Linked DNA regions of Saccharomyces cerevisiae S288C. The protein of the gene in region 3 interacts with the protein of the main gene of each other region in a biochemical or structural test. Each region holds a gene or a part of one and is shown on either strand. Other genes may lie near its edges. The genes, in order: SVF1, CKB1, CKA1 and CKB2.

Region 1 (8,885 bases), on a different chromosome or scaffold from region 3:
TAGAAAAGACAAGTTGAGCTTGTTTGTTCTTGTTTTTTTATTATTAAAACAGAAAAATTGGAAAAAAGAAGAAGATAGTTACAAACCATATGTCTTTTCTCGAGCTCTTTTTATATGTTTCTGTGCTTTCTATATTGTATACCCATTTGCTCTCCATTGTCTGCAAGCCAAAATCTGCATACAGATCCGAGACATCTCTTGGATTTTTTTCAATGAAGGCACGGAGGGCATCTGAATAATCTCAATGAGTAAGAAACGAAATTTTTTAAGGAACATTTTCAATTTGCCTACGGACTATTCTCTGCAAAGTTCCAATAATTTCTCCTTTTTTTCCAGCGTTTAAAGGAAAAAAACTGGTTTTCGATGCCGGGGCCCCACAATGTACCTGCACTTTTTGTGGGGTAAACGTGGATAAAACGAATCTCCGTTGCCTAAAAAACATTTTTTTTCGTACGGTCCCCTCTGCGTTCAGGAAAAAAAGAGATCGGGTGGTGAGGCTAGGTAGCGTAGCCCCTTGGAGAAGCATATGAAACATTTGTCTTGGCGCCGCACACAGGAACTGCGCACTTCTTTTTGTCCTAGGTTGCTTATCACACCATATGGTGCACCCGTGCTCGTTGTCACTGCCTTTTTTTAACAATTCTTCCTTTGTTCCTCTGAAAGCACGGGCCGGCGCACTCCAATTACCCCTACATTAATTTCCAAGTAGTAGCAGGGGGATGAACATGTGAACATGTTGCAACAACTGCGGTGTCTTCTTAGGCTTGTGTTCGGAATTTCTTCCTCCTGTTTCGGTGTGTGTTGCTTATTTTTTCCTTGCCCCTTTGCGGCATCACAGCAGCCGTTGTTCCGTATTCCGGCTGATAAGCATGGAAAGATTTTCCAACAATACTCATGAAAAAATGTGTTGGTGTCTGAGTAAGCTAAATTTTCCCAAATTTGATGCCATTCAACCCGAAAACTTAAAATGTAAAAGGGGTTGAGATAGTGCAGCTGTGTGGCAAAAGTCAAAAAAAATCTGTTCCTTTCAAGGAAATGAAAAAAGGAAGGAAAAAATGTCCAGGACAGAAAGGCCATCCCCTTAGTAAAGAAACCTGCTTAGAGATTCTTGAGGCTCGAAAATGGTTGGTGGTTGGACTTCTTTTGAGTTTTCCGTCCGGATTTCAAACGAAATCCATCATCACGTTCCTAGCAACAAGAGGATTATTGGACGATTGTCGGGAGTAAAGATTACTCAGTTGGTTTTCTAACTCTACTGCGCACTTCTTCGTGGGTATAACAAATTGCACACACATACATTCTTATTATTTGATACTGCTTACGATAACCGGAGACTTCTTTTTTTTCCTGTTCGGCTCTCGCCGATGGTATGAAGTTAAATGGTAGAAAAATTGTTTGTTTTGTTTACAAACTGGATCAAGAAATGTTAAAATTCTGTTTGATATCATGTACCAATGTCTTTTATTAACTGTATCAGAGAATTATATATATAAAGTCATAAATCTTGTGTATTATTTATCATTATTGACTAGCACATCGAATCTTAAAATACACTATTATTCAGCACTACGGTTTAGCGTGAAATTATTTCTTGCCGAACATTTTCTTGTAGAATGGCTGGTCATCATGCATCAATGCATCAGCATCGTAGTTAGCACCTCTTTGAGATGTTGGAACCCATGAAGCAGACTTCCATGGTAGAACACCTTCAGCGTACATATCATTGACTTCTTCCAAAGTCAAACCCTTAGTTTCTGGCACAAAGAAGAAAACGTAGAAGTAGGCGAAAACCATACAGCCCATGAAAACGTAACCGTAGTAGAAGTTAATAGCACCAGTAATAAATGGAGTGAAGAAACCAATCAAGAAACCCCACAACCAATTAGCAGCTGTAGCAATAGACATAGCCTTAGACTTGACTCTCAATGGGAAAGTTTCAGAAATAACAACATAAGCAATTGGAGCCCAAGTGGTAGCAAAACAGAAAATATAGAAACAGGCAAAGACAATCATACAGTTACCAGCACCCTTGGATGAACCATTACCTTCACCATTTGGCCATAGTCTGGTGACACCAACAGAAGCGTAAACTACATAACAGCAGACCATACCAATGGCACCATATAACAAACAGTTACGACGTCCAAAACGATCGACAGTGTACAAAGAACAACAAGTAGAGAAGAAGTTGACGACACCGAAAACAATAGAAGTTTCGAAAGAATCACTCATACCAACAGCGTTAAAAACGGTAGTACCATAGTAGAAGAAATAGTTATCACCAGTCAATTGTTGTAGAGATTGGATCATGATACCCATCATAGTACGCTTAAACATGGCCGGCTTACCAGTGAACAACTCACCCCATGATGCTGAACCAGCAGCTCTAGCTTCTTCAACACTAGCTTCAATAACTTCCAACTCTTGTTGAATGAATGGATGGTCTGGGGCAACCTTGTTAACTTTGGAAAGAGATGCTCTTGCTTCGTCAATTTGACCAGCTTCAACCAAATAACGTGGGGATTCTGGAACGAAAGTCATACCACCGATCATAAACAAAGCCCAGGCAAAACACAAACCTAATGGAACTCTCCATTGCACAGAGTTGGAGTAGTTCTTAGTACCGAAGTTGGTACAGTAACCCAAGAAAATACCCAAGGTAATCATCAGTTGGTAACAGGAGACTAAAGTACCTCTCATTTCCTTAGGAGCGACTTCAGAAATCAACATAGGAGATAAAACGGCAATACCACCAACACCCAAACCGGAAATAATTCTACCGATGAAATATTGGTACCATTTGTTGATGGATGCAATTTGAATAATAATACCGATGATGTAGATAACAACAACGACAATCAAACCCATTTTACGACCGTACATATCACCCAATTTAGCCAAAATAATACCACCAATGGCACAACCAATGTTGAAAATGGAGACAATTAAACCAGTTCTAACCTTAGACAAATAATAACTACCATCTTTATGCTTCATACCGAATCTTCTCAAGAAATCAGTTTGGGCGACGAAACCAGAAATGGTACCAGTATCCCAACCGAAAACGAAACCACCGAAGGCAACCATAACACAACAGATAGACACAGTGACATATGCACCTTTACCTGTATTTGGGTTGGTAAGTACTTGGTCGGCCTCAGCTTGGAAATCATCTTGAACACCTTTTTCTTCAGGCATGTTCATTACCTGAGAGCTATTCGAAGGCAGGTCAGCATTCGAATTCTCACTTGACTTTTGTGGAGATATTAAATCTGGAGTTGAATTCATGATTGTTTAACTCAGATGTAAATTTTGTTTGTGATTCTATTATTTATGAAAAGCTATTAAGTAAAATTATGGAATATTCATGCTGAAGATAAAACAGCGCCTGTATTTATATGCAACCCCCAAGCGAAAAAAAACTTTGACTTTTCTTCTCTTCTGGAGAAATTCTCTGGGGATATAGTCCCCAGATTTTTTGAGTGGGCCCCCAATGTCCCACATCGTTATTGAGTTGTTTCTTTCTCCAGAAGGTCGTTGTACAGTCATTATAATGGCGGTCAGTATAATGACCTCCGGAAATACCAACATCGGGGAAAGCGGAAAATCTGGAAAAATTCTCCACGAAGCTTTCTCTGTGATAATCCGCGACCGAGAGTTTAACCGAATCCGCGGAACGAGATATTCCGTGTTTATTGCGGTATTATATGAGCCGGACGAATCCGGAAAAACTACGTGACAGGAACGATGACCGGGCAGCAGGCGAAGCTGGAAGAATATAGCTAAGAAAATGCGCACGGAAAAAAAACACTCCCGAATTTCTCCGTGAAAAGAGCCTACTAGGGGATAATAGTAGGTATCCGTTAATATTACCGAACTATTGAAAACCTACCAAATGCAAGAAGATGCAAACGAGCTAGAATGTTCCGCGAATAGCTCATCTTACAATTTTTTTCTTTTTTCAAGAAAAAGAAAGTATTTTTTTTTCCTTTCATTTCATTGCTCCTCCTCCAGGTGTTATCTCGAGAAGATGAAGGCTGTCTGCGATGACGAATAGGAAAGAAAAAATTTTCCTTAATTTTGCTTGCTTAATTCTTATACGAATAATTCTTCTTAATCAACATCGGGCTTCATATTTACCAACACGCATTATTGATTAACAATACTTGCCTTAGGTTGAAATTGGACGCCGGAAGAGAATTTATAGCTAGTCAGTGTTCTTCGGCGTAATTTTATTAATGGACATACAGTGTACTTTTCAAACTACACCGCCATTTGATATACCGGTGTAATTTTTGATGAAGTGTCAGAATTAGCCGCACAGTTAATTGAACACTTCGCTGTAAGGTGTGGATACAGATTAGATAAGAGCATTAGGCACCACATTTCTTCAGGCTTTTCCTGATGCTGGTTTGGATATTGCCTTCATCCCGCACCAAAGCTGGCGTCCCGCATGAGGAAAATGAAGAGTTGTAAGCAGCACTAAATTCCGAAATTAAAGGGCGGGCGGATGCCACCAGTAAAATATTCTTGATCAATCTTTGATATTTTCAAATGATCTCCCATTGTAATCTGAGAACTGCTCTTGTTTGGCTACGTAAGGCAGTATGAGGGTTGTAGTTAGTAGTAACCCTGTCTAAGATTCCCGGTGCTATGTACTTCTCTCACAATAATACAAGTAGTGAATGTCACTTAATAAATTTTTGTAATAAAAAGTCTACAAAGTTTGTTTGTGACTTGTCGAAATTCAATTCTGTTGCTTTCATTTTTCTGTAGAGAAGAAATAATATTCCGACAAAATGTAAATAAATATGCTAAAGTGGGTTACGACAAATTTCTTGAGAGCCATTGATTTTTGCTATAGAGGCATGAAAGCATACTGCACACACATCCAATACTTAACTTTGGCAAATGAGGAGCCTAATTACAGAGATAACTTCAAACTACATAAAGAACCAAGATACTAGTTAATGGAACGCCTAGACGATCATGCTTAACTGAACGAAAAGTAACTAATGAAATACAAGTCTCTTTTCGCCGAAATTTGAATTTAACAAGTCTAGTATACCCATTGTTAGTGCATTTCTCCGTGTTTTGAGACGCTTTTTTTACATGCTTCTAAATAAAGGCATCATCCATGCTCGGCAGCCGTAGAAAATCATTAGCCCCTAACTTCCAAAAATAGACTGCGCGCTACGTGAGACGCTTACTTCAGCTGTAGTATCCTAACGTGAAGGTTTTTTTAATTTACCCCATAAGGATCGCGTCAATAGGATCGTTTCCATTTTCCGACTTTGCAGATTAGATGGATCCCTAAAACGAAGTGCATAGTTGCGGTATTTTGTATTTGAGCCATTTAAAATAGTCTGGAAGGTTTTCTTTTTGATTAAATACATTTGGTGTTTCATTAAACCTGGAACAATACATATGATCACTTCATCCCGATAAATACCAAGCCCCAGGAACGTACTTACTCCTACCAGCACCTGTATTATAACCTTTTCTGAGAGTTCTTTTGTTTTGCTTGCAAGGGTATATTTCGCAGATATCCACGAAAACTTTATTCATTTGCTCAGGCTATATTACATTATATATATATATGTATGGATACATAAGAAAAATGAGATGAATAAAAACGACAACTATTTATTATGGCAACATTGTTTACTGTGGCTATTTCTCGCATCACTCTTATTTTGAACAATAGTATCGATTATGTGACGCAACAATTAAAAAGGGGTATAACGATAACTTGCTATAATTATTAAAATTTGCAATATTAGATTTGTGTAGTATTAAATCACAGATAGGAAAAAGCATACGAGACCTTCCCACTTTTGCTCATGCTTCATTGTAAGACTCCTCACTAATCACATCTGATTCAGAAATGAATGTTACTTCGGTCCAAGCTACACCGTGAATTTTCTCCCCGCCATTTATTTGTAAAGTTGAGCTTTTTGGATCAGCATATTGGTATATAAATGGCTTAGTACCAGCAACACCAGAGACGATGTTTTTAACAAAACTTGGAATTTCGCCCATCACATCAATTCTTTCAACTAGGTTGTTCAACGGACCCTCCACAACAGCACAGATCTTATTTTCTTCTGCGACGTTCTTGTATTCTTCTTCCTCTTCATCTTCCTTTTCATCTTCCTTTTCATCCTCTCCTTGTAAAGCTTGTTCAGTCCCATTCTCGGATTCCAATTGTTCATCCTTGACTTTGGTATTGATACCTTTGAAGGTGATCTTAATATCTTTTGGAACTTTCCAACCAACAGAATCAATTTCTGAGTTTAAGTGCTCAACAAGATTGTTAGTTGTCATCGCTAAAACTTCTTTATCATCGGTAATAATACCAGCAGAAATTTTAGTGTTGGCATATGATTTTGGTGTAGTGAACTCCATCAACACCGCGGAATACTTTTCGGAATGGAAAAACATGAAGTTCCATGCCTTAGCTGCGTGATGAGGCTTCATGCCTTGGAAGGCCATTATAAATGTCGAAATCGCAGGGTCTTCCTCTTTAAAAGTAATCGTACGATCTTCATAGGTGATTTCGACTTCTTCACTGTCGCTTTCTTCTTCACTACCAGATTCCTCCTCAGAATCACCAGACTCTTCATCTTCGTCTTCATTATCATCCTCATCAGCTGAGGATTCTTCTTCATCAGATTCTGGAATAACTTCTTTCTTAACTTTGATAGTACCGTGACAAGCATTCCTTGGCCAGAAAACGTGTCTCATGCTACCCCATGGTTCATTGATATTGTTACCATAATAAGTCGCAGGATCATCGCCTATCTTGGCTCCAGGGGTTAACCTTCTTATATGCAAGTCAACGACAGATAAATCACAAACACTGGATTGAATGTGATAGCTTTCACCGTCTTCACTTAATTCTACAGAAAGATTGTCGGCATAGAAGTTTGGACCTTCGATGTAAAAATTTTCCAACTTGGTGGAAGTCCAGATATTCAAATCCTCTGGATTCTTCGAGTCAAAAATTCTGAAAGTAAATTGGGATGCAGTGTGCAACCCAATGATGTTCGAATGAATAACCTGGGCAAATCCAAAGATACCTGTTTTCAAGTCACTGAAATAAAAGATAACCGATTCAACGTTTGTATGGTCAGGAGCTTGCCAAAAAAAATCTTCACGACTGGTTTCTCTGTAAGGCTGCTTATTTTTTACCCTATCAGCAACACTATGAATGTAATCTTTCCCATATTCAGGCTCAGCCATACCAGTGACTGCTGAGATCCCACCTTTTATCCACTTCAACATTATATTATATTATACAAAAGCTTATTCGTTTCTTTTTTCTTGATTCGATGCAATAAATGACTGAATCTTTTGATCTTCTACAGATTTCAAATTATCAAACGAATACAAAAGAATTCTATCAACAGGCTCTATCTATATATAACAAACGAAAAGCCGTGCTATTCGTGAATCTCAAGGAGTAATCTTGCAAGATATCCCCGAATGTTTCAATCAACCAGCTGTCATTTCGCTTTTGTTTTCTCCCACTCATCGCAAGTTTGCCTCCTCAACAACAAAAAAACAACGAAAAAAAGCGGTACTAAACCGGACCTGAAGTTCCGTGGAAAGTGAGATTTATATTATGCAGGATTTTGCTCAGATTCTCTCAAGAGCAATATCATAATGCATAAGTGATGAAAAGTATGGCAGAAACGGTGGGAGGAACCGCAGTTTTAGCTAGGATCTGGAAACAATCAGTGATTTGCCATTTAACAGCTGGGGGAATCTAAATACTTTTGAATTTTAAGGTTTCCAGCACCATGCTTCGCTTTACTGGTGCTCGCGCTATTAGAAAGTACTCTACTAGGTATGCACTCGAGCACCTGAAAGAAGGTGCTCCTCTGAAAGGGCTGTTTTCTATTGAAGGATTACAGAAAGCATGGTTCGACCGAGTGAAATATCTCGATGCAAAATTGAACGATTGTACAAATGAAGCGCAACAAAAACCCTTAGAAACTCTCATCCATGAAAATTCGAAATCTGCTTCAAAGAAACATATCGTGAACTATGCGTCATCATTGTACAACTTGAAATTTAGCATGTCTTCCCTTCAGGGATGTATCAGGACTCCGCCAGAGGAATGCCCCAGGCTAGGTCCAGAGGCGCTACTTCAGACCCCTGATTTCAATAGGACAATAAGCAATGAGCCATTGACCACTGGCAACGAACGTTTGCAAGCAGCTCTAATTTCTTCATTTGGGTCTTTGATGGAGTTCAGAACATTATTAATAAATTCAAATCTTGCTATATCAGGCGACGGGTTTACGTGGTTAGTCGCAAGACGGCAGCTCGACAAACGTGCTATGCGCAACGACATGCCAAACAGGGATATTGAATATGATAAGCTGTTTATATTGAATACGTACAATGCGGGAACTCCCTTCAACTTCTCTACATCTGGGGTAATGAATGAGCTCAATAACCAATATACCAACATGGAAAAACAACGAGCCAAAGAAGCCGGTAATCTTGAAGATTCTGAGATGACTGCCAAGCAAGCCAAGACAAAATTTATTTATGAAACCCAACAGAAAGGTTTTTCTGGGAAAGAGGTTTCATATATCCCGCTTTTAGCCATTGATGCGTCACCAAAAACATGGTTAACTGATTATGGCGTATTTGGGAAACGAGAATATTTAGAAAGGGTATGGGACTCTATAGAATGGAAAATTGTAGAGTCAAGGTTACCTCAACGTACTAAGATCCAAGCATTCAACACGTTATGAATGAAACTGGTAATGGGAATTTTTTCCTTTTGATATAAGTTGGTAGTCTCTGTAAATATATAAAGTCAAACTATTCGTAATGTGTATATAACGTGGTCTTAAATTATTTTTATT
Region 2 (4,539 bases), on a different chromosome or scaffold from region 3:
TGACTGCTGACACAGCTGACGAGCTGGAAAGCTCTGCTATCTTAAAGATGAGGGAGTCTGATGCATCTTTAAATGTTACCACCGGCAATAATACATCAAGGAAAACGACTTCCAATTCCAAAAAACGATGGTCTCTATTATCCAATCATTCTGCTGTTTCATCATCTAAATCTAAGAAAAGATGGTCTGTACTTTCTTCAAGCTTTACCAGTGAATCTCATAAGGACAGGGAATCGAGGAACGTTTTGCAACAAAAAAGAAAATCCTTGCAGAGTTATTCAAGCTTAGATACGGTAGCATCTAATAGCTCTATCTCTGCTTCTTCTTCTTTGAAAAGATCGTCCACTGGTCTTTCCCTCAGACAATTGTTTACCAAGATAGGCATAAACGATGATATATCACAACCTGGGATCGGGATTCCGCAAGGTAAGGAAAATCTGCCTCCAACTATGGGCAAAAAAAATTCATCAATTGCTTCCACTAGTTCGGAAAACAGACTTAGGACACCATTGAAGCCGCTTGTTAATCATTCTAAAAGGCCCACTTCACAACCACAACAGCAACAACCACTATATAATGCATCATTGTCCTCGAGAAGATCGTCGATTTCTTCCACTGTCTCTTCTTCCAGCTCGTCTAAATGGAGATTCTGGAAGAGAAATAAGAACCAGACACCTGCATTGTTGCAACCAGACCACCATTCTTTAAAAACCTTTCCTGCAGTAAACCGTCGTGATTCCATGACGCCCGTTGAACCAAGAAATATGGTAAAACATAAGACATCCTTTTCAGATTTCCATAAGACTATCTTCAGTTCAAATACGTATTCTGAAAGCAGCGATACAATATCTTCCATGGAAATTACTTTGAAAAACAAAGCTTCTTCCTCAAGTCTATCTTTGAACGTGTTGAAGAAAAGGAATTCGCAATCAAGTTTGAAGCACAAAAGTTCACATGCATCCTTACAAAAATTCAAAAGAAACAAAGGAAAGTCCTCCATGATAGCACCATCGACAGCAACTAATAGCAGCAATGATGACTCTTGTAGCTACAGTTCCAAAAATTCTACGTTGAGTCACCGAATATCGTTACCTGTACCGGACCAAGTTTCCCGTGATAAAATTCAGAACAAATTAAGATATTCGACCTCATTACTCTCATTAAATTCTAAATCATCTTTACCGATGAACAAAAATGATCATGATGAGACACTTCTAAGACAGATTTTACTAAATTGTGATATAAAGAGAATTTTAAACCCCGCAAAAGGAGATGTATTGCCTTTAATCAACGATGTAAACCATTTGTCATCAATACAATTAACATCAAATGTTTGGCAAATTGGTGAAGTAATCTGTAAAAAAGTTTCTCTCGGTACTATTGATGACATTACATGGGATAGAAAGTTCTTATCTTTGCAGGAACTGGAAAAACTCAAAATCATGCAACAAAAATTTGATGGCATACCGCAACTATTGAAAAGTTTTGTTGTTAAAGAGGCAAATGGGGGGTTGTATTTGTACTTACTATTCAAAGATCACGGTACCCCAATTTCGTTAATCTCACTGAAAAACTGGAAGCAGATTCTAAAGATTTTTTGGTCTTGTGCTGGTATAATTCATGGGTTGGAAAAAAATTTGAAATTTGAACATCGTAATCTTACTTTGGATAATATTTTGATAGATGGTAATGGGAATATAACAATTATTGATTTTAAATGCAGTAGATTGCAAACTCCTCAAGATGATGTTTTATATCTACGGCTAGATCATCCACTCTTTTTTCTAAATGGGAAAGACAAGAGTAAAATAAACGAATACCAGTATCAATTTGAGTTTGAAATCTATCAAAGTATGCGGATCTTGTTGAACATGGACGCGTCAGCTTTTGAGCCCATGACAAATTTGTATTGGTTATATTACCTGTCACGCGTTTTACTAAAGTTTGGTGACAGGAAGCTTGGTAAGAATGATGCAAACAGGGATAAAATGGCAAGGGTGATAAACCATTTGGAAATGAACTTGGCAGTTCATAAAAGAGGGGGGCAGTTATTCAAAAGATTGGAGACGGAGGACATTAAGAATACTGGAGATTTACTAAAACTTTATAAATAAAACAAATAGGAATGTTGACATTTATATTTCATTTTCTTTCTATTGTATACTCCAATACATAAACATATTATATATACGTACATAATGTAATAACACTAATCTAAAATAATGGCATCGTCGACAGCATCCAAGGCTTTCTCCTCTTGAGTCTCCACAGATGCAGGTGCTTCCATTTTGGGAGTCAAAAACAATTGCTTAACGATAAATTCCACGCCGTTGATGACATTCATCAATGCCCAAACCCAGATTCCCAAAGAGACACTCTGTAAAGCCATATCATCAAACTTGGAAGCACCAAATTTGCCCTCCATTATATGCCATTTCTGAGAAATAGTCCTTAGAGGATGCAAGAGAACATATAACCAGCCTTGAGACCAAACACCACTTACAAACGTAGGGAACAAGGTGCTAGTCGAGGAACTCAACTTGTAAACTGGTGTCTTGCCGTACATAATCTTAAACACAAAAAATGGCACCGTCAATGCCAATAACCTGAGTTTGTGAAGATGGGCCTGAAAGGCTTTATTTTCTGATTGTATTTCGTCCTTCAAGTTATTTATTTCTTTATCTAACGAGTCCAATTTTCTATTGTTCTTAGTCCATTTGGCATAATTATCCTGCGCGGAGATAGAGTTGTTGAATTCTTTTAATTCGTGACGTTCTTTGACCTTGGCTAAGTATTTTTTGGATAATTCATTTCCTGGTGCAAATTTAGAGATCCATTTCTCGTGGTATTTGTTTGTATACTGTAGAAACTTTGTGACCACAATAAAGAATATCGCTACCGCTGCTGCCCAATGCATTTCTCCTATTTCAATCAACTAGACGTAGTTCAAGGATTGCAAACTGTCCTGCTTTCTTTTATCTGGTCTTTTTATCCCGAGGTATTGTTGTATATACCACTACTCTGTGATTTTTTTTCACTCTTGGGAAGGAAAGAAAAAGTGAAAACATCAACTGGTAAGTGTCTAATGACAAAAACAGGAGGTAGTTGGTACGTGCAAAACACGATAGTGACGTTAATCCGAATCTGTAAATTGGTGAATTGGTATTTAGAAGCGACCATTAGCTAAAAGAGAGAGAAAACTATGTCGCAAGAGTTTGTGGAAGACTATTCACGTACAGGGTCCTCAGACGACGAGGATAGTGGAGCTTATGACGAGTGGATTCCATCGTTCTGTTCCAGATTTGGTCACGAGTACTTCTGCCAAGTCCCGACAGAGTTTATCGAGGATGATTTCAATATGACCTCGTTATCCCAAGAGGTACCCCACTACCGGAAAGCTCTGGATTTGATATTGGATTTGGAGGCTATGAGTGATGAAGAAGAGGACGAAGACGACGTGGTGGAAGAAGACGAAGTGGATCAAGAGATGCAGAGTAATGACGGTCATGATGAAGGCAAAAGGAGAAACAAGTCGCCAGTGGTGAACAAGAGTATTATCGAGCACGCAGCAGAACAGTTATACGGATTGATACATGCAAGATTTATTCTGACCAAGCCAGGCCTGCAAGCAATGGCTGAAAAATTCGACCACAAGGAATTTGGAACGTGCCCCCGTTACTATTGTAATGGCATGCAGTTGCTGCCTTGTGGGTTGAGCGATACAGTTGGGAAACACACCGTAAGGTTGTACTGTCCCAGTTGTCAGGACTTGTATCTTCCCCAATCATCTAGATTCCTGTGCTTAGAAGGTGCATTTTGGGGGACAAGCTTCCCTGGTGTGTTCTTGAAACATTTCAAAGAATTGGAAGAGTATGTGGAAAGGAAAAGTAAAGAGTCCTACGAGTTGAAAGTTTTTGGGTTCAGGATAAATGATGAGGCAGTATCTGGTCCTAGAATGAAGTGGTTGAGACAATATCCATCCACGGAGGAGGACTGGGAAGAATTTGCCAAATGCGAGTTCGAGACACCGGCGGTTTAACCCTTGATTTATTTTCCTCTTTGCCCTACCATATACATATGTACTTTACCTATTTACATTGTTTCAGTTTTTATATCACCACTATTATTATTATTACTATTACCACTTTGGAGTACTTTAGTGATTCATTTCCAATTGTTTTCCTGGAGCCCAGTCTTTGAATGCCTTGGCCAAGTTGTACCAGTACTTTAGCTCCACGGTCAACTTCACTGCGGCGGCGTAATCCTTGTCATTGTAGCATTGTCCCAACTGGGCTTCAATATCTTGAATTCTTTCCTTGTTTTGCTTTTCAAGCAGCTTCACACCAGCTTCGTCGTCCATCTGGGATAATTCATCATGGATGTCTAGAACTTTCAATAGTAACTGTGGATCACTGGTAGTTACTTCATTTGAGGTCTGTTCTTGCGTCAAATCGATATTGCGCAAGAGTTTTAGCATATATTGTGACCTTCTAAGGGGATCTTTGAGAGTATGGTAAGCTTGATTAAGAGTTGATGACT
Region 3 (6,922 bases):
CAGACAGGCCACTGTGACTGCTACAAAGAGAACCAAAGTTGCCACATTGGGGAAAAGTGGTTTTCAACGTTTACTGGGTCCTGCAGTAGACGTATTAAAGCTCAATGATCCTACAAGACATTAAGTAAAAAGGGGAAGCGATCTTAAATCCACATGAATTTCCTTTCTCTTTTTCTTCTTCTTCTGTTCCCTTTTTCTTTCTTCTTCCTTCAACGTCTACGTAAATATAATGTATAACATCTCCACTTTCCTTTCCCTTATAGCGTTATGTTACCTGTTTAAACTCTAAATTCTTCATCTACTACTGCTGTTACTACATGTATATATGTTCATTTTTTTTTTTTTTTTTCACCACGGAAAACGTAAAAATGAGAGCATTTGTAACAAATAAAGGAGAACTGTTCAATCAAGTGACATACAAAAACTCTCTCCAACTCTACAATCACCACCGTAATGTCTGATGCTCAATTCGATGCTGCTTTAGATCTTCTTAGGAGGCTAAATCCTACCACGTTACAGGAGAATCTAAACAACTTGATCGAATTACAACCAAATTTGGCACAAGATTTACTATCTTCAGTAGACGTTCCCCTATCCACACAGAAAGATTCCGCCGATTCAAACCGGGAGTACTTATGCTGCGACTATAATCGTGATATTGATTCGTTCAGATCGCCTTGGTCGAACACTTATTACCCAGAACTATCCCCAAAGGATCTACAAGACAGCCCCTTTCCCTCAGCCCCTTTAAGAAAATTGGAGATCTTAGCCAATGACTCTTTCGACGTTTACAGAGATCTCTATTATGAAGGCGGTATCTCCAGCGTGTACCTCTGGGACCTCAATGAAGAAGATTTCAATGGGCACGATTTTGCAGGGGTAGTGCTTTTCAAAAAAAACCAATCAGATCACAGTAATTGGGACAGTATCCATGTTTTTGAAGTTACAACATCTCCTTCTTCTCCCGACAGTTTCAACTATAGAGTCACCACTACAATCATTCTGCACTTGGACAAAACAAAAACTGACCAGAATTCTCATATGATGTTATCCGGGAACCTGACAAGACAGACCGAAAAGGACATCGCTATTGATATGTCCCGTCCATTAGATGTTATTTTCACATCACATGTCGCTAATTTGGGTTCCTTAATTGAGGACATTGAGTCTCAGATGAGAAATCTATTGGAAACTGTTTATTTCGAAAAGACAAGAGATATCTTCCACCAAACAAAGAACGCAGCCATTGCTTCCTCTGCTGAGGAAGCGAATAAAGACGCACAGGCAGAGGTAATCAGAGGTTTACAGTCTTTATAGAAATATTTACATGTATCGCTGGTATATCATATAAATACATACAGCAGCACTAAGTGGTAGAAAAGCGCTATCAAAAATCACTCGGAACGAACACTGAAGAAAAAGCGAAAAATCAAAAATATGACCAACGCTTGGAAAATTTCAGTAGCAATTAGACGAACCTCGCAGTCCTGTAGTAAAACGGATTAAGGGACTTCATATACTGTTGATACTCGGTGTATTGCAATTACCTACTAGGAGTTTTCTGAATAGGGACTTAAGAAGTCAAATATACAGACAAAAATAGGGGGTTGTAGAAGGAATATTTGATTCGAACTATGAAATGCAGGGTATGGTCAGAGGCTCGTGTTTATACGAATATCAATAAACAAAGAACCGAGGAATATTGGGATTATGAAAATACTGTAATTGATTGGTCCACAAATACAAAGGACTATGAAATTGAAAATAAAGTTGGGCGAGGAAAATACTCCGAGGTTTTCCAAGGTGTCAAATTAGACTCTAAAGTTAAAATTGTTATTAAGATGTTGAAACCAGTTAAAAAGAAGAAGATCAAGAGAGAAATCAAAATCTTAACGGATTTGTCTAACGAAAAAGTGCCTCCAACGACTTTGCCATTTCAAAAAGATCAATATTACACAAATCAAAAGGAGGACGTTTTAAAATTCATCAGGCCCTATATCTTTGATCAGCCACACAATGGTCATGCAAACATAATTCATCTATTTGATATAATAAAGGATCCCATCTCAAAAACTCCGGCTTTGGTCTTCGAATACGTAGATAATGTGGACTTCCGTATTCTTTACCCTAAATTAACCGATCTCGAAATTAGGTTTTATATGTTTGAGTTATTAAAGGCCTTAGACTATTGTCATTCAATGGGAATAATGCATAGAGATGTTAAACCTCATAACGTAATGATTGATCATAAGAATAAAAAATTGCGATTGATAGATTGGGGGCTTGCTGAATTTTATCATGTTAATATGGAATACAATGTTCGTGTTGCGTCGAGGTTTTTTAAGGGTCCTGAACTACTAGTTGACTACAGAATGTATGATTATTCTTTAGACTTGTGGTCGTTTGGGACAATGTTGGCTTCTATGATCTTTAAAAGAGAGCCATTTTTCCATGGAACGAGTAACACAGACCAGCTTGTCAAGATCGTCAAAGTACTTGGTACAAGCGATTTTGAGAAATACCTGTTGAAGTATGAAATTACCTTACCGAGAGAATTTTACGATATGGACCAATACATCAGAAAGCCTTGGCATAGATTCATCAATGATGGTAATAAACATTTAAGCGGCAACGATGAAATTATTGACCTTATTGACAATCTTTTGAGATATGATCATCAAGAAAGATTAACTGCTAAGGAAGCGATGGGACACCCGTGGTTTGCCCCAATAAGGGAACAAATTGAAAAATAAGAAATAAATAATGAATGAAATAAAAAAAAAAAAATCACTGACAAACGATATAACGATTACTTTTTTTTACCATCTGTACAATTGTACTTAATTCTAATAGATTTAAAAAACTAAATACAGGTTTAAAGGGCTTCCTCCATACAACAGAGGCAAGGAGGACTAAGGGGTTGACACGAGCAAATTTCATACATGCAAAATAATAATGTCTTAAAGGTAATTTATACCATAAATGTAGTAACTAAACGAAATAATAACGGCAGAAAAGAAAGGATGCAGCTCGAGTATTTATACACGTATATTACATATATAGTTGTCCTTATCATTCTTGAATGAAACACCGTTGTGCTCACCAAAACTTTGTTATTTTATCTTTTCAGAATTGGGTAATGATTGGTTGTCTGGATCCTTACCACCTTCTACGGGCTTGAGATCTATATCGTCATCGTCAGTATCGCTTCCGAAACGTTGAGAGTATGGCTCGTGCTTGATGGCTATGATCTTACCAGTATCTTTATCCACTTCTGTAACGTCTGAATCGATCATTAAAAGTTCTTCAATGATCTTTAATGAATCCACAGTCATGCTTTCATTTTTGTTGCTACTATTAGTGCCATTAACATTATTATCTGAGTCTTTATTTAGTTTTTCATGTTCACGTAAATGAATTTTGGAGAATTTCTTGAATTTAGAGATTAGTTTTTCATAGTAATTTAACTTTTTCAGTAAAATTCTATTCTCGTCTTTAATTTCGTTAAATTCCTTTTGGAGCTGCAGCTGCGCAACCTTTTTCCTTTGTCTACATTTCGAAGCTGCAATTCGATTTCTTTCTAACAATCTTGCTCTCTTCCATGCCGTAGTACCAGGGATTGGATTTCCCTGTGTGTTCGCCGCTAAATTTAAATGAGATCCTTGAGATTTTGGAGTGAAGCTAGGATTAGAGTGAGATTCCCTAAGTGCAGATTTGCCCCTATTTTCACCTCCAGTAGTTGGCGCAAACGTCGTCATGCCTTCCAAATCACTTATACTCTCCGCTGGAGTATTCTTTGATGGCGCGTTTACAAAATTTCGCTGCTGACTTTTCGAGTAAATAACGCTCTGATCACCCAATGCGGAGTCCTTCGTGGGATTAATAACTTTTTTTGCATTGTATTGTGGAATACTACTAACCGGCACTGCTTGGTTGAAGACCGGCTTGTTTGATACATTCCTAGTTTGGCTCAGACCATTATAATTGTGAAAATTGGGCATCGGGGGCGGCTGTGTGTTGTGCAGGTTTTCCAAAGTTTCAATATCTTCGCCTAGCTGGCTTATTTGACCGTTAGAGATTGATATTCTTCTTCTTCTAATTGGCTCATCGCATCCAGGCAAAGAACTTTGGAAAATTGGTGGATTCGTCATAGGTAAATGTGCTACATCAACACCAAAAGGTTGAAAAAATGGCGACAATGTTTCCAGGATGGATGGATCGTTCAAGGCATGTGGGTTGTTATTCATATTCATGTTCATGAAATACATCTGCTTGTTCACAGAAGCCGTATTGGCGATGTTGGACGCATTAGTCGGGGCTGTAGTAGAATCATTCGGAGCGGACTTACGGGTAGACGACAGTTGGCTCAGATTTGTATGAGTGGCCAGATTCTGATGCATATCCTGTACGACACCAGAATTCATCAGAATATCACCGTAGAGTTGGGATTCCTCTTCAGTTTTCATAGAGGGTGACTGTTGTCGCTGATCCTGCTGTTGCTGTTGTCGAAGGTATGCAGCCTGCTGATAGTTTGAATTGGCGCTGGGTTTAACAACCCGATCATGCGAATTGACGTTTCCAGCTGCAATAGAATATTGTGGGGTTAAAGAATTTCTATTGGAAGTAGTATAATCATGTATTTGGTCAACCACACCAGCCATATTTGTGCTATAGTTTATGTCAGTAGGATCTAAGGATCTACTTAAAGCAGAATTGTTCATAGTAGAAGTGGTGGTGGCGGCGGCAGAAGTATCACTAACAGAGTGCGGTATCTTATTATTCAAGATCTTTGATGTGTCATCAATACCACGTTTATTGTTGTCTTTTTGCTTGTTGGAATTAGAGTCTACGGAATGATACTCCTGACCAGTAAACATTATCCTACCAAAAAGGTGTGGGCTTATACTTTTTTCTTTACTACTTTAGATCTTTTTAGATCCTTTTGAATCTTCCAATTGAAAGACTGCTTTAAAAGCGAGTTTTTGATTTAGAAACACCAACAGATACGTATACACGATAACCTCTATAGCGGTTCTATTTCTGTTAACAAGAAGGTACTTGAAAGTGATAACTCAAAAAACAAGAGTACAATATGAAAATCTTTTGCCTTCATTGTCATTGTCATTGAATCCCCGATTATCATTGTCAGCAATTTCGGAGAAGGGGGCAACTATGTTCCGTGTAAGGTGATATTACTCAAATGTGTCACAATTTCAACTTCTGGGAATAATATTTATAATAGTTGAGATTATTCTTGATTATAGAGGCGACAGCTTATCTTAATTTTCGCCAATAGGTTTGGAAGAACATTGGTATTTTCATTCGGTGCAGCATTTTAATTCAGAATTATAACCGTCCTTGTACGGTTATAACAGCACATTATTGAAAAATGTTTTAAAAATGTTTCAGCCCAGTAATAAAACATTTACATATGCTATCTTGGCCCTTTATATAACATGTAAAGCAAAAAACTAGAACACTAACATGGCTTAAGTAGCTGAAAATCTACACCACTTTTCGATAAAACTAAGAGTACGGCAAAGATGAACAATGTACACATAATTAAACCTTTATCACTTCCACAGAGGTTTTTTAGTTGTATTTTCCATCCTCTATTACTGATATTCTTTACTTCTGTTATTTTAACTATTTGGGGTTCCTTTTCAGTCATTGACATTACAATGGCAAAAATGTCTCACGCACAGGTCAAACGAAATGATACCGTCTCAACCTTTGCATCTATTTCAACTGCTACAGCGACAGCCACAACAACGGCCACAACAACGGCCACAATGACAGCAGTCACAACACAGCATGCCATATATTCTGCCAACAGTTACTCTTTAAATAAAACATTCATTGATAATACAATTGATCAGTATTTCGAAAGCAAACTACGGAGTATTGAATCTACGGTAGGTACGGATATGCAAGAAAAATTCAAGTCATACACAGACGACATACTGGATAATAAACAAAAACTTATCAACGACCAAATAAGTTTGGAAACTGAATTGATTAAGGAAGTTCTTGAGGTAAACAATACAATTTTTAACGAACTACTCACTAAATCACAGCTGATAAATGACACATGGAATGAAATATCAGAAGACGCAATGACCATTGATAAGGATTCCATTTCACAAATGGCATCAAACCTACTGTTAAATTACTCCATGTTTGACAGTATTTTTGGGAACTACTCAAGGAAATTGAAATCATTGCAGAACTTCAATGGCACTATCACTGACTTTTCTACTCAATTAGATACCTCTAGTACCTTAAGTTTGAATTTTCTACGAAATTCCACTGACTGGCTTCAGTTGAAAAGGAACTTTACTGCAAACTTACAGAATGAAATTTCCATTTTATCTGGGGGGAGTACCGAGGTTACATCGTCTACTTCAATAATTAAACGGTCTCTGAAAACAAATAGCGAGGAAAACAGTGTACTAAGTGCAGTAAAAAATCACGTTTTCCGTAAATGTAAGAGAATGACAATAATTTTCACAGTCATGTACTTTGCATTTGTGATTTTGCTCATGGCAATCGAAAGAATTCTGTTTCAGCTGGAAAATCAGCAAGTAAACCTGGTTATGTCCCAAATTAATGGCCTGACAGGACAAACCAATTTTACTAAATACAACAAAGTTTTGAAAAGCTTAATTACTACTCTGAATCTCAGTACACTTTATCCAATTCCCTACCAATTAACAAAGCTTATCAATCAAAAAATATTTAAAAGAGAACCAGAAAAAATCGATGACAAAAAAGTCAAAAAATCAAAACTATTTTACTGTAACTGGTGGATAATCTCAAATGGGGCTCACCTGTGGCTGTTTGGTTTTTTGATGTTATTAATTCATTGGCAGATAGTGACGCGATTAACAAACTTTGAAGTACCCAGTTTGCCTACATTCCA
Region 4 (3,078 bases), on a different chromosome or scaffold from region 3:
ACCAAAGAATGAGTAAATCTCCTCTTTTCAGTACTTCCAGATTAGTCTTCAAACAGCTTTTGAGTTTTTAAAATATAAACCGCCTCTTAGTTCATAGGCAGTCTCCACGCGATGCCGCCACTTCTCCAATTTCTTGATAAATAAGGATGCTTCCTACATTCAAAGATTTCAAGCTATTCACTAAAATAACACCAATAATTCGTGGGTAACCACATTTGCAAATTGTTGATATATAACAGGCTAACTTCGGAGCACGCTCTTTTATCTGGTTGTATTATTGCCGTAAGGGGCAATAACGGTATATAAAAATTTAATATTAAATAGGAAAAGTAAAATACGAATGGAGGTAGAAAATAGTAATATTCTAGGAAAGAAAATGCTAGGAGAACAAATGATACCTGATTTTCACAATTTTATGACGAAGTTTCTCCATTATTTTCATTTTCGTTTTCAATTTCGCCTAGGATTTCATTTCGAATTTTTTCTTCTTTCTTTAATAGTTAGGTTTTAAAACCACCACTTTTCGTCAAATCAACATCTTTGGATTCAAGTTTCTCAACTAACTTGAGTCGTTGTAGTTCTTGCCACCTTGTCAGTTGAGCTTGTTTATGTAATTCAAATCCAAATATTTTTGGAACATATCTTTTAGTTGGGTGTTTGGGTACCATATCTGGAAATGCTTGCAAAAACATACCTGGAAAACTTGTTCCAAAGTATGCACCATCAATGGAACTATGTCTCGATGATTTTGGTATATAAAGATCCTCACAAGATGGACAATATAACTTGACACAATCTATACCAGGAATGTCATGCAAACCAACCGGTAACAACTGTTGTAAATTACAATACACACGGGGACATCTTCCAAAGTCCGCCTCTTTGTACTTAGCGTACATTTTTTGCAATCCTTTGATAGTTATAATGTAGCGTGCATGGATGAGACCATACAGCTTCCGGGAATCTGATTCTAATTGTTCTAAACGGGCATGTGTCATATTCTCTAGGATACTATCATCCAAATCATCCACAATATATTGTACCACGTAGGAAAATTTTGAAACTGTCTTTTGCAAGTTCATCAGATTAAAACGATCAGTGATGTACTCAGGATCGACATCACAGAAATATTCATGGCCTTTTCTCCCAAGAAATAAATCGATCCACATATCCACGTATTCCGATGAGTCAGAGTCATCATCCATGAGGACATCATCTTGTTCCACTCTGGAGCCTTCTCTAGTCACTGTTCCCACATTCTCCGATCTACTGCCCATGATCTGCTTTTCTATCAGTTCTCTAAGTCCCTTAATCTTGAATAATTTGAAAAAAGCTAGTATTTCTCAAGTAAAAGATTGATGAAAAAATACAGCAGGAAAATTCCACGTATCTGGAATGACCAACTTCTTTAAGAATGTGATTTACTTATTCTATTTGGTGCTTGTTTTCATTTGATAAAGGATTGCCAATACACCTCCATTTATTCGCTTTCATATTTTTTCTTCCTGGAAGGTCGACAAAAAAAAGCGCGAAAAAAATATCAGTTAATTCGGCTAGAATTATGAAGTCTTCATAAAACAATATACAAAAAGTGCTAAATCGTCCATACAGAGGAATACGCCACGCAGCAAAGGAGTTCCTACACAATCCGGAACAATGAGATTATTAAAGTATCCTTTGGATATTCATAATGAACAAGTGAATGCCTTAGCTGCCCTTGGTCCCTATATCATATTGGCAGGCAGTGGGGGTCACGTGATGGCGTGGAGACAACAACAACTAGTCGATACTGCATTCGATAGGGTTATGATTAAGGATTTAAAGCCAGAAGTTTCTTTCCAGGTGGATCAGGATACTACCGGTGATATTTTTTTCATAACAGGTGATCTCGAAACATTGTATATTGGATCTGAACATCGTCTGTGGGGTTATTCAGGTTGGCTCTGTAGAGATACAAATAACATCAATTCTGTCGAAAAAATGAACAGTAAGCTTCTGTTCGAGTGTAAATCTCCAAGCACAATAACGGATGTGAAATATGACATAAACTTAGGTATCTTATTTGTTCTTTTAAGTAATGAAAATAAGATACTATTATTTCGGCATAAAACCTTTGATAAACTCTCTGAAATAACTATTGACAAGGCGAGCAAACCTATTACAGGCATAATAGATCCTACTGGCCAAACTTTTACTGTTATGACTTCAGATAGATCAATTTTAGTCTATCAAATTAACAAAACGGGTACACACAAACTCATAAATAAACTTACGCAGCATGTACAAATGTATCCATTACATTATAGAATCTCAATGTCACCTCAGGCAGACATTTTACCAGTGATAAACTCGGTGAAAGGTGTGCCGAATAATGCTACCAGCTGTACCGCTTTACTTGACAGAAATAACAACTACAAAGTTACAAAAACACTGGTAACACCTTCTTCAAATGGATGTAGAGTTCTTGTTTATTCTCCAGCATTTTATGAAAAGCCTAATTTGAAAAAGGGCACCAGCACACGCTATAATTTAATCGCCACTTCGGGATCTACAGACGGTACTATTTTGGTTTGGAATACGAAGAGAATGAAACCTTTGTTTAATGCTCTCCAGGTTTCCTCCACCGCAATAAACGATATGTCTTGGTCACAGGATGGGTTCACCTTGTTTGCCATTTCAAACGACGCGACATTGTATACATTCGCATTCCAAGAGAAGGATTTAGGTGTAGCATTGCCTCAAACGGAAATCAAATCGTTACAAGAAGTAAACAAAAAGCTTCCAAAGCTTGAAGAGCCGTTAGCAGAACAAATACCGAAAAGTTTCCCAGAAAACATCAAATTAGAAGAATCTGCAAGCGCAGCACCTATTCCAAACGATATTGGTAGATCTGCCGTGGGCAAGAAACCGACCAAAAAAAAAACGGCTAACAATCAAACTAATGGCATCAAAACTATCCAGAGCACATCAATGGAATTCAACACTCCATCATACACTGTGCCAAGGGATTTGAAGAGAAAGCCAAAAGAGGCAACTCCAAGTAACATTGCCCCTGGCAGCAAAAAGCAGAAAAAAGAG

What was found.
Region 1: of the proteins of CKA1 (region 3) and SVF1, one has a biochemical effect on the other in vitro, tested with the Saccharomyces cerevisiae proteins (3 studies listed by BioGRID).
Region 2: the proteins of CKA1 (region 3) and CKB1 form a complex in vitro, tested with the Saccharomyces cerevisiae proteins (3 studies listed by BioGRID).
Region 4: the proteins of CKA1 (region 3) and CKB2 form a complex in vitro, tested with the Saccharomyces cerevisiae proteins (3 studies listed by BioGRID).

The regions. Positions count from the first base shown.
Region 1 is NC_001136.10:1,161,373-1,170,257, forward strand, and holds SVF1 (Svf1p), read right to left. Parts: upstream 7,288-8,885; coding exon 5,842-7,287; downstream 1-5,841. Other genes in the region: YDR344C (uncharacterized protein), read right to left, coding at 634-1,077; hexose transporter HXT3, read right to left, coding at 1,585-3,288; mitochondrial 37S ribosomal protein mS43 MRP1, read left to right, coding at 7,806-8,771. UniProt on the Saccharomyces cerevisiae protein: Ceramide-binding protein that may transfer ceramides from the endoplasmic reticulum membrane to the cis-Golgi network membrane, and is thereby required for the biosynthesis of complex sphingolipids. Required for survival in response to oxidative stress.
Region 2 is NC_001139.9:454,954-459,492, forward strand, and holds CKB1 (casein kinase 2 regulatory subunit CKB1), read left to right. Parts: upstream 1-3,202; coding exon 3,203-4,039; downstream 4,040-4,539. Other genes in the region: protein kinase ALK1, read left to right, coding at 1-2,114; GET complex subunit GET1, read right to left, coding at 2,210-2,917; J-type chaperone JAC1, read right to left, coding at 4,157-4,539. UniProt on the Saccharomyces cerevisiae protein: Regulatory subunit of casein kinase II/CK2.
Region 3 is NC_001141.2:283,621-290,542, reverse strand, and holds CKA1 (casein kinase 2 catalytic subunit CKA1), read left to right. Parts: upstream 1-1,634; coding exon 1,635-2,753; downstream 2,754-6,922. Other genes in the region: cAMP-dependent protein kinase regulatory subunit BCY1, read left to right, coding at 1-124; CAP2 (F-actin-capping protein subunit beta), read left to right, coding at 454-1,317; CST6 (Cst6p), read right to left, coding at 3,114-4,877; pheromone-regulated protein PRM2, read left to right, coding at 5,544-6,922.
Region 4 is NC_001147.6:403,967-407,044, reverse strand, and holds CKB2 (casein kinase 2 regulatory subunit CKB2), read right to left. Parts: upstream 1,278-3,078; coding exon 501-1,277; downstream 1-500. Other genes in the region: HIR2 (Hir2p), read left to right, coding at 1,657-3,078. UniProt on the Saccharomyces cerevisiae protein: Regulatory subunit of casein kinase II/CK2.